Rattus norvegicus: one gene and its partners. The protein of the gene in region 2 purifies or fractionates together with the protein of the main gene of each other region. This does not show direct contact. Links are inferred from orthologs where the notes say so. Each region holds a gene or a part of one and is shown on either strand. Other genes may lie near its edges.

Region 1 (3,654 bases), on a different chromosome or scaffold from region 2:
TCCCCTCCTGTCTCTCGCCCACTGGATTTCTATTCGTCAGTCCTTCAGTGTCACACAAGTGTATGGCAATGGCAGACTCCTGGGAAGTGCTTCGTTATGGGCTGAGGAAGTCTCAAGTACTGTGTAAGCTTTTCCAGCATCCTATTCACATTTCACTTTGAGTAAACCCAGCACGACACTGTCAAGGTTTTCTTCCCACCACTGTTGACTACAGTCAGGACGTTTACTACTCCTTCTGGTGCCCTTCTTACTCTGCTGGTTTTGTTTAAGGGTAAAAAGAACAAATAAAAACGTGTACAGGAGACAACAGTTTCTTTCCTTTCCTCTTCGGCACCCTGTTCTGACCAACAGACTCAAGTCAACTAACAGAGAATAAAACATGCAAGCTTTCTTTTTATGACATGTTTTGTATTAATCGTAACAGAACAAACTGATAGAGCACCCACAAGCATAAAATGCTCTCTGCTCCCAGTCACATCGATCAGGGCAATGGAGAAGGCAAACCCTGGAGGTTTGTGTCCTGCACTCTCCACTCTCTGTGACAGCATGAGCAGGAGAGCAAGTTCTGAACCTCTTTACAGTACGCCATCGATCATCAGAAGCTGTAAGCCCAAAGGCAATTAAAAATCAACAACAAAGTCTTATTACCTAGCTAATGTCTGCAAGTAGAGACAGGGCATTTTAACAGGAAGGGCCTCAGAAACGCCTTCCTTCACAATGGGCAGCTGAGACTGGAATGGCTTTGCAGGGTGGTAGCACAAGATGCTGGGCTCGGCCGCACTGCTCAGGGACAGCAGGAAGAGGGCATTGGCCTTGATCACCTGGTGTGCTTCCATGGTGGGCAAGGCACGGGGCGTCTTTACTTGCATTGGCTTTCTTCTCGATTGTTTGACCTGGCAAAAAAAGAGAAGAGAACTGACTGTTTCCTGCGTATATTTAAAAAGATAATTCTTAACTTTTGCTGTTTCTAAGAAAAAAAGACATGAAAAAGTATTTTAAAACTGTGCTCTTGATTATTAAAACAACTAACCCACCACTGGGGAACATGGGAGGAGTCATGTGGGGAATGAAGCTTTAGCAGAGGTCTCTGACATGGTTTGTCATTAGCAGGAATGATCTCCAATTTCTATGAGTTCTATGGTATGATTGGATTTTAAGGAAAAGACAAGAAAGAGGAGGAGAGTACATGGAACAGAAACAGTGAAGTGTCCATGTATGTGCGGTGTGGGAGGCAGTTAGGAATCACATCATAAACATTTGTCAGCACATCATTTGTACCGAAATATTAGATTAGAACCAGTTGACTTAACAAATATTGAATTTGTATTTTATTTTTGCTATACTTTAATATCAATTACATAGAACTAATGCAATGGTATGATTATGTATTCTGATGAGTTACATACATGTCATAAATAATATAGCCTGAGTGGAATAAAAATACCTTTTCCCTTGCAGCAGCCTGTTTTTCACGGAGGTATTTTTCTCTACAGCGATCACATACGAGGTACCAAGTGCTTCCTCCCATTCCCCCATCACCACAGTTACCAGCCCATCCTCCACAAAAATGCCCAATGCTATTGTATCCTTGTCCACCAGCATATCGGCCACAACCTTGAAAAAACACAAGACAAATATTTAACATTTTGAATGTCCCTGATCTTCTTTTTTTTTTTTTTTAAGATTTATTCATTTATTATATAGAAGTACACTGCAGCTGTCTTCAGATACACCAGAAGAGGGCATCGGATCTCTTTACAGATGGTTGTGAGCCACCATGTGGTTGCTGGGAATTGAACTCAGGACCTCTGGAAGAGCAGTCGGGTGCTCTTAACCGCTGAGCCATCTCTCCAGCCCCGTCCCTGATCTTCATTACTGATATTATCACAGCAACATGTGCATCTTTCCAAACTAAAACCCTAGCAAGTACCTAATTGTTTAAAAGGTGTATATACATTAGAGAAAAACAGCATGCCTGATTTAAAAAAATTATCAATTAGAGGATGCTCAAAATGCTTGAGATATTCTATTGTTAGATGAGTACATTAAAGAAACAGGGCATGGGTATCTTTAGATCTACTTATGAATGTCAGTAAAATAGACACATATAAAAGGATGGCATGTTTCAGAAATCAAATGTTTCTAACATCAAAGTGAAAAAAGAAGAAAACAATCATATATGAAGTAAGCTTTAGAATATAAATATATAAAAATATTTACCAAACATGCAGTTCTCTGATTAAACAACTGATTATCACTTACATGGAAAATTCCCCATCCTGTTCTGTACACTCCATTTAACTGGTAACCTCTGAGCAGGGCCCTGAATTAGAGGCTCTAATACAAAGCTGTCCCTCTTGTTTAGACATGCCATTACTTATACTGTGTAAGGTCTTCGTGTCATCTTTTGGGAAATACATAAAATACTTAAAACATTTTTAAAATTTGCCACATTCCAAGGAAAAAACATATTTCTTGATCAGAGTATTACTAGAATTTCTCCATCTCTTTAAAGAAACTATTCTACTAGAATTTCTCCATCTCTTTAAAGAAATATTCACGGTGGTCAATGATGTAGGATTCTACTTATTTGGGCAACTGTTTCCCCATACTTTGATATAATTCGGAGGGCAGTTCCCAAGAAGGTGACTGATCTAGCTTATCAGGACCAAAGCATACATATACATATACCACAAAACCGCTTACCTGGGTGAGCTTGTCTCATGTGATAGGTCACTGGGTATGGGTGGGATTCCCCACATAGCTCACAGATGGTATCTTTCTCTGGCCCTCCTACTGCCAGCTGGGCCATTTCACCAAACAAATTGCCCCTTGGCCGAATTTCTGTCTTTTCTTTTTTCTTTTTTTCCTTTTTCGTTTTTTTATTCTCTTTCTCACATTCTTTCTTTTTAAGGACTGCACAGGAACCTGGACTTGGAAAAATCATATTCTGGGAAGCAGCTTTGATTGTAGCCAAAGAGATGTCCTCCCAGAAGGCCACTAAGTGTTGTAATGTTAAGGGGAGCGGAGACCTAGACTTCACTGAGTGATGCATGGACATTTCAAAAGTGGCTTCCGATTTTCCGTCTTCACACTTCTCATGTAGAGGTGGCTCCTTAAGCATAGACAGGACCTTATTTTTGTTGATACTTCCCATCTTGGATATGTCTGGTCCGTGAGGTGAAATGTTGAACATATTTAGGGCAGATGATATTTCCAACGAATGTCTATTTTTTAACTTGATTTCCTTTTCCTCTGTGGGTGGCTGGCTATTCAAACTACTTCTTATGGGAGCATGTTCTTTGGAAAGTTCAGGATTAAACTTCAGGAAGGAAGAGCAGGCCATTGCATCATGTACTATGCCTTCATGCCACAGAAAAGAGGCAAAGACAGCTCGGGCACACTCAGCCACGGACGGGGACATGGCTTGCTTGGCTGGCTCTAAAGATTTGGCTCCATCTCCTTTGAAAAGAAAGTTAGACTTTTCTTTTTTGGGCCTGGTGTGTCTATTAGCACATTTCCGACTTATTTTGGGTGATGCTCTCATTTCCTGTTCATCTTTCAGTGGTGCTTTTCCTATGCTGAAGTGCACTTTATTTGAACCTTCATCCACACTCTTAAAATCATTGCTGTCATCACAGGTGCTGTCTGTGA
Region 2 (2,401 bases):
TAACAGTCATAAGAATTCATTAGGAAGTTTACTGGGGTATACCATTATACCCATGCCTTTATGAGTCCATATAAGATATAGTATTTATGTATATATATATAGTTAAGAGTGAATTTGGATTGCCTGAGTAACAGCTGTCTGGCAAACTGGACATGATGGCGTTCTCTTTTCACAGATCTTGTTGGCACATTCCATGCAGAAGAGGTTGTGGCCACATGGAACTAGGGCAGCAATAACTTCATTCTCAAAGCAAATCACACAGTCGTGCTTTCTTCTTGATTCTGGAGGTGAGCTAGAGGTGGAACCACCATTGGAAGAGGAATAACTATTGGTACCATTAGAAAAAGCAGGGATGTATATTGGAAGGCCAACATGGTTGCCTGTACTAGGTGGGTCGCTCCTAACCCTTCGAGCAAGTGGGTGTTCTATGCTCTCAGGAAAGGTAGGAGACAGACGAGGAGTTGATGGCTGACTTCCTCTACGCTGAGTCTTCATGTTACCAGAAGGATCACTCCCAAAGCCAGAGAGTGGGTTAACTGGTTCAAATGGAGTCCAGATAGTTTGAGCAGATGTTGGTAAAGAGTCAAAGGCAGGAGAGTCTACTGCAAGGTCTTCTGAGCCTACAGACGGTAGTGTATCTCCAAACCAAAAGTTTCCTGTGCTAAACGGGCTTGTTGGACTAAAGTCAGCCAGCCTATTGCTTCCAAAATAGGAATCAGTGGAACCACTTCCTAGAGAACTAGAACTATCATTTCGATAGTTGGACATCATTCTTGCTCGGCTTGGAGGAACTGGATTGGAAGAGAGCCACGCAGAGCCTAGAGTGCCACCTTCAAAGCTCACATCGGTACCGTTATAGTGGAAATCATTTTCTTCATTGAGCTCTATATAGTTCCCTGTACGCATGGCAATATGCATTTCTATTTCTTCTCGTGCTCGATCAACATTTTCCGGCATCCCTGTGACTTCAAAGACTGGCTCCTTATCTCTGCTCGGAGTAACTATGTATGTGTGGGTCTGTTGCTGAATTCTCTTAATTGTTGCTCCTTTTGGTCCAACCACTAGCCCTACCACACGATAGGGGACCCTGACTTGGACTGTGGTTTGACCGGGCAGATTAGGACTACACGATAACCCTCCAAGCGCGGGGCCATTTTTGTTCCGAGATGCACGGATCATAGAGAAGTGCTCTGCAGCCGAAAGGATTTCTCTCTTGGCCATGGCAACATCTTCTTTCCGTCCAGTGACAACAAAAATGGGCTCTTCACCGCGGACAGGTGTCTTGATATACGTGTTTGTCTTGGCTCTCAGTGCTTTAATTTTACAACCTGTTAAAAGAAAACATTTCAGAATCAGTATTTACTTTAAAACTATCTATAAAGGCAAACTAAGAAAAGTCTGTAAACTAAAGCTCTTTAGTGCACAGTTCTTAATAGTTTCTTTATCATAAAATTTAACATTAACCGATGACACCCCCCAATTCAATGCAACACTGCTAGTCATGGAGGTGTGCTTGTCTGCCACTCACTCTTTTGGGAGAGTGGGAACCTCTCCTGGGAGGTCAAAGCTCAAGTCTATTTCTCTTTCTCAGTCACACATTGAAAAGATGTACAAAATAGTCTATAGGCAAACTATAAATCTGTAGGGTTGAACTTTTACTTTGCAAAGATGTTGGTGGCAAGGAAAATACTAACATATGAGACACAGATAAGGTCATGTGATGTTGAAATCTATAGTCTTTTCATAGTCCAGGAATTTTAATTTTCACATACTCTACAAATTTTACTTGATTTATTTTATTGCGTTAACATGACTCCTTTGTAAAATTCTATTGACAAATATGTTCATGGCTAGTGGCTATCTTTCTTCAGCTCTTAGTTATATCCAGGGAGACAACCACAAAAGTATAGCATTAAAAAAAGTAATGTAGAATTAATTTTTGCCTATTGTTAAGTTCTTGATTGATTTAAAAAAAATTAGTGAAGACTCATGGAAAATGGCTAGAGGATCACCTCTAAAGCCAAACTAGAAGCTTTGGTCTTAACCTCCAACTGTATCTAAGTTAAAATAAAACACGGGAGATACATTTAATTTTTCATAATCCCTAACTTTAACTAGGTCTCCAAACTGTCAAATACAAGACTATGGCTTAAATCTCTGAAGTTACAGTTTTCAAAGAAAGCAACAGATTCCCAGAATAAATTGATTCTCATGACACCATACAATTATTTCCTAAAATACATAAAGGAGGTGCGTGGAAGATGGTAGCTACAATTTGGGCAGGCCTTTTTCTTAAGCCCTCTCTTCCTCTCTTGTCCAGCAAATCACTAATGGTTAAGCTAAAACTAAGGCTTTTTAGATACACAATCCTGAACCCAGGCAATACATATATACAACTCCA
Region 3 (4,242 bases), on a different chromosome or scaffold from region 2:
GCCTCAAACTCACAAAACTGCCTTCTTTTTTTTTTTTTTTTTTTTTTTTCTTTTTTTCGGAGCTGGGGACCGAACCCAGGGCTTTGCGCTTGCTAGGCAAGTGCTCTACCACTGAGCTAAATCCCCAATCCCAGAAAACTGCCTTCTATTGACAAGGATTCAGTGTTGCCCCCTTCCTAGGTCCCAGGTCACACCTTCTAGACCCATTCTGCGGGTGTCAAATTAGAAAAGACTGTCTGGGGTGCCATTTTGTTAATGGGGACAATAGACATGGACCCTTCCAAGTCCCTTTGCCCCAAATTTCTCAATAGCTGTTGCATTGGCGGTCATTGGCGGTCTGGGGGCTTTGCCTTCCCTGCAACCAGTGAACCAAAGAACCTAGGGAGTTGGAGGCCAAACAAACTGACCTAGTCCTCAGCTGTGGCTTTAACTGGCTTTTTCCTGGGTGGTTCTCCAGAACTGATGGAGAAGCAATTTTGATCTTATGACCATTATATGCAGATTGTCTTGGGTACTGGGATTTAGGGAGGAAAGAAGAGCAACCTATAATGAAGGATGTTTAAAAAACCAAAATCGTAATCCCACAATTTTCCATTTTTGAGTTGTGTAGTCTCGGGTAAGCCATTCGATCTCTTTTGACCTTAGTGTTTACGGTAACAAGCCTTGACTGGCAGTCCCTCCTCTCATGGATAATAGATTTCTAGAGAAGTCAAATTTCCAGGTGTTGTTTTTAGGGAAGGAAGAGGGAAGAGGCATGCTCCTGAAGCTGAGGCGCAGGCGTGGAGACGGACTGTGAAGAGGGAAGCGCCTGCGTAGTGGACACCTCACAGTCTACTGCCTCACCCAGCCCCTCTCTGCAGCAGGGAATTGCAGGCATCGCTCCACCTATCGCAGCTCAGCTGACTGACAGGCCTTCTTTCTCCTTCCTTCTCTACGGGTCGTCGCCTTTTTGCCCGCCCCCCACAACCGCCCCTTCGAGGGCGGAAGTATGACGCTTCCGGCGAGTCGCCAGAGCCTTGCGGAGTGCGATTTCCTCACCCATTGGTCTTCTTTTCCTGAAGTTCCGCCTCCGTCAGACTCTTACATCCCTCCCTCCTGGCGCGGAGCTGATGGTCCATCCAATTAGCGTTGGTTTCAGCCGTTTAGGGGGCGGTTCCAGAGTGTGTCATCGAACTCCGCCTGTCTCTAGGGCAACGCCCCCTGCCTCCCTGCTCCGAACGGAAATAGCCCAGTACTGCACCAATCATCGCCATGTATCTTTACTATTCAGCCAATCAAAGAGAGAGGAGGGCGGGCATTCTATTGTGAGCGGCAGGGCTTTCAGCTAACAAGTGGAGTACGTTCCCGGATGACAATTCGTAGGGGCGGGTCTGAGGCGGGGCGTCGGCCTGCAGCCAGCCCGCCGCTAGCCCGCCCTCCCCCGGCCGGCTCCTCGGCGCCGTCTGGGGTCCTTTCCGCCCGGTGCTGCCAGCCAGCCCCGCGCCCGTTCGGCCAGGCCTGGAGCCGAGCCCTTCGCCATCATGCCGGCTGTATCCAAAGGCGATGGCATGCGTGGGCTTGCCGTGTTCATCTCCGACATCCGGAACTGTGAGCTCACGACCGGGGCCTGGGGGTCACGCGGAGACCGGGCGGAGGGAGCGGGGAAGCGCGGGGGTGTCCTCCCGAGAACGACCAGGGTGGCGCGGGCGGACGTGGCGGGAGGAGGTGGAGGGAGTAGGGCCACGGGTTAGGTAGGTCATTCAGTGCCATCCGGAGCCTAGATGGGGGAAATCAGGGATGCAGAGGAGGTGGGAGGCGGGCAACCACCTAGGGCCAGGGGCCAGAAGTTGGGGAACAGCCCAGGAACCAGAGATGATAAGATTGGGGCACAGCAAGAAGATTAAAGATAGTAAAGTGGGAGGACAGCAGAGGAACTCGAGATGATAAATTGGGGGGGAACAGCGGAGCGACTAGAGATGGAAGTGGGGGGAATCAGAGTAACCAGAGATGACGAAGTGGGGAGATACCAGAGGAATCAGAGATAGAAATGGGGTGACAGCAGAGGGACAGAGAAGATAAGGTGGGGGACAGCAGTGGGATCAGTGACAGAATTGGGAGAATTGCAGAAGAAGCAGAGAAGATAAGGTGGGAACAGCACCCTAGGGCCCAGAGATGATAAGGTGAAGGCATGGAAGAGAAACTAGAGATGATAAGGTTGGGGAGACAGCAGAAGGACCAGAGATGAAGAGGTGGGGGACAGAAGACCAGAGGTGATGTATAAAAAGACTCTAGATGGACGAGTGCATAAAAGACATGGAACATACCAGGTGTGCTTGTGCAGGCCTTTAATCTCAGTACTCAGAGACACAGGCTGGCTGACCTCTGAGTTCAAGGCCAGCGTGGTCTACAAAGTGAGTTCCATGACAGCCTGGGTTACACAGGCTGGAAAAGCCAATGCCCCCCTGTTTCTACCCCCCAAACCCAAAAACATGGAAGGCATTGAAGAGGCTATATACAAGAAAAAGAGGAAATATAGACATAAAGTCTTTGGGAAATCCAAGGTACCAGCATGACCTGGGAAGGTATTACATGGTGAGTGTTTATGATGAAGGCAGACCCCTAGGAGGAGGCAAGGCATCTGAATACTCTGTGGGAAGAGATCTAGCAAGCTGGGGGCGTAGGGAGCTTTGCACCCTGAGGAAGGGAACAGGGCAGCCCTGGACCCAAGCCTTCCTTGGCTTATCCCAGCAATCCGAGGGCCTTGATCCCTTCTAGGAAGGGTTATAAGACTGGGATGCCCTGGCTGCTGGTGAGCTCCAGGAAGCAGATGCTGGTGTCTGCAGCTGCCAGGAGCCTTCAGAGGGTCCATGCGTGGATGTGGTCAGCCAGAGCTGGCTTTGTGTATAGAACTCTATCACTGTGTGACCTTGAAGGAGGGACCTCACTTCTCAGTTTATTCATGTCAGGAGAGGCTGCTGATGGCTTCCTAATGAGAGGTGGCTGGGCTGATGTGGGGTGAGGCTCTAGGCCAGATCCTTAGTAGCTGCTGTTGGCATTGGCTAAGATCTAAAGAACGACTCCTCCACGCTGCTCAGGGTAGGATCTTGAGCTCAGTAGGTGTCAGCAAAAGGACAGTGGGAAGGTGTATGCTCCCTTATATGAGAGATGCTTTGGACCCAGTGAGAAGAGGTGGAACCAGGAAGGGCAGTAGACTTAGCATGGGCACCTATTAAAAATGGCTGTGCTTTATCTCTGTTAACTACTGGTGGGATGACCCTCTGTACCCCACTTAGCCTCTTTGGCTGACTCCATTTCTAATAGTATGTTGCTCACAGGGGTTTGATGGCTCGTTTATATGATGAATTCTGTTCAGCTCCTCCTATGTATCAGCCCCTGTTTGCAGTACTAGGCCTACAACCACATAGGATTCCTAGCCTCAGAGTTGGGACTGGTGTCTAGCAGTAAAGCACCTGCCCCGCATCTCTCTGTGAAGGGCTGAGGCCACAGCTTGGTAGTAGAGCATCTGCCCGGGGTGACCAAGGTCCTGGGTTCCATCCCTAGCACCACAAAGACAAAACAAAACAAAATCCACATCGTTTGGGGTGTCCATTCCTTAGGAAAGATAGAGTAAACAGAAGGGAGCACAGGATGTTTGCCATTGGCTGGTGCTGTGGGCTAAGTACATGTCAGTATCGGACTTGAGTGAGGACTGAGGAGAGTTGGAGGCTGAGGGACTCTGGGCACTGTAGCTTTTCTGTGGGTAAACTAAGAGCTGTAGGATGCTTTTGGGAAGAGGCAGGAAGTGGCTCGCTGGATTCCTTTAGAACCAGGCATGGTGGGGCTGACAGGAGGCTGGTGAGTTTCAGGTTGGCTTAAGCAAGACCGAGTGTCAAGTAGAAAGTCTCAACTGTTGAATGATTGATTGCCCTGTCTGCTGTGAGAATAGACTTGAGAAGTTGGGATGACAGCTGGCAACCAGAGCAAAGGGAGCACAGACCTAGGGCAAGTGTGAGAACTGGACTGCTCAGATGTGAGCAGAAACAAGGGGCTGGAGTTGCACGTCGTCAGCGTAGCATTTGGAAGGCCACAGCGCCAGGATGGTGAGTATAAGGACAGTCTGGGCTCTATAGCAAGACTTGGCTCAAAAAATAAAACAAAAAACAACAGAAGCCAACACTAAGGGGGCTGGAGAGGTGGCTCGGCAGTGAAAAATGTTTGGACCTTAGTACCCATGTCAGTTGGTTCACAACTGCGTATAACTCT

The links.
Region 1: the proteins of Mex3c (region 2) and Mycbp2 purify together in Homo sapiens (affinity purification with mass spectrometry; 3 studies listed by BioGRID and IntAct, with this or other methods). This does not show direct contact. The link is inferred for Rattus norvegicus from reciprocal best matches to the Homo sapiens genes MEX3C and MYCBP2.
Region 3: the proteins of Mex3c (region 2) and Ap2a1 purify together in Homo sapiens (affinity purification with mass spectrometry; 3 studies listed by BioGRID, with this or other methods). This does not show direct contact. The link is inferred for Rattus norvegicus from reciprocal best matches to the Homo sapiens genes MEX3C and AP2A1.

The regions. Positions count from the first base shown.
Region 1 is NC_086033.1:86,394,562-86,398,215, forward strand, and holds part of Mycbp2 (E3 ubiquitin-protein ligase MYCBP2), read right to left. Parts: coding exon 2,707-3,654; intron 1,615-2,706; coding exon 1,445-1,614; intron 894-1,444; coding exon 649-893; intron 1-648. UniProt on the Homo sapiens protein: Atypical E3 ubiquitin-protein ligase which specifically mediates ubiquitination of threonine and serine residues on target proteins, instead of ubiquitinating lysine residues.
Region 2 is NC_086036.1:69,459,774-69,462,174, reverse strand, and holds part of Mex3c (RNA-binding E3 ubiquitin-protein ligase MEX3C), read right to left. Parts: intron 1,329-2,401; coding exon 103-1,328; 3' UTR 1-102. UniProt on the Homo sapiens protein: E3 ubiquitin ligase responsible for the post-transcriptional regulation of common HLA-A allotypes. Binds to the 3' UTR of HLA-A2 mRNA, and regulates its levels by promoting mRNA decay.
Region 3 is NC_086019.1:104,547,821-104,552,062, reverse strand, and holds the start of Ap2a1 (AP-2 complex subunit alpha-1), read left to right. Parts: upstream 1-1,407; 5' UTR 1,408-1,520; coding exon 1,521-1,587; intron 1,588-4,242.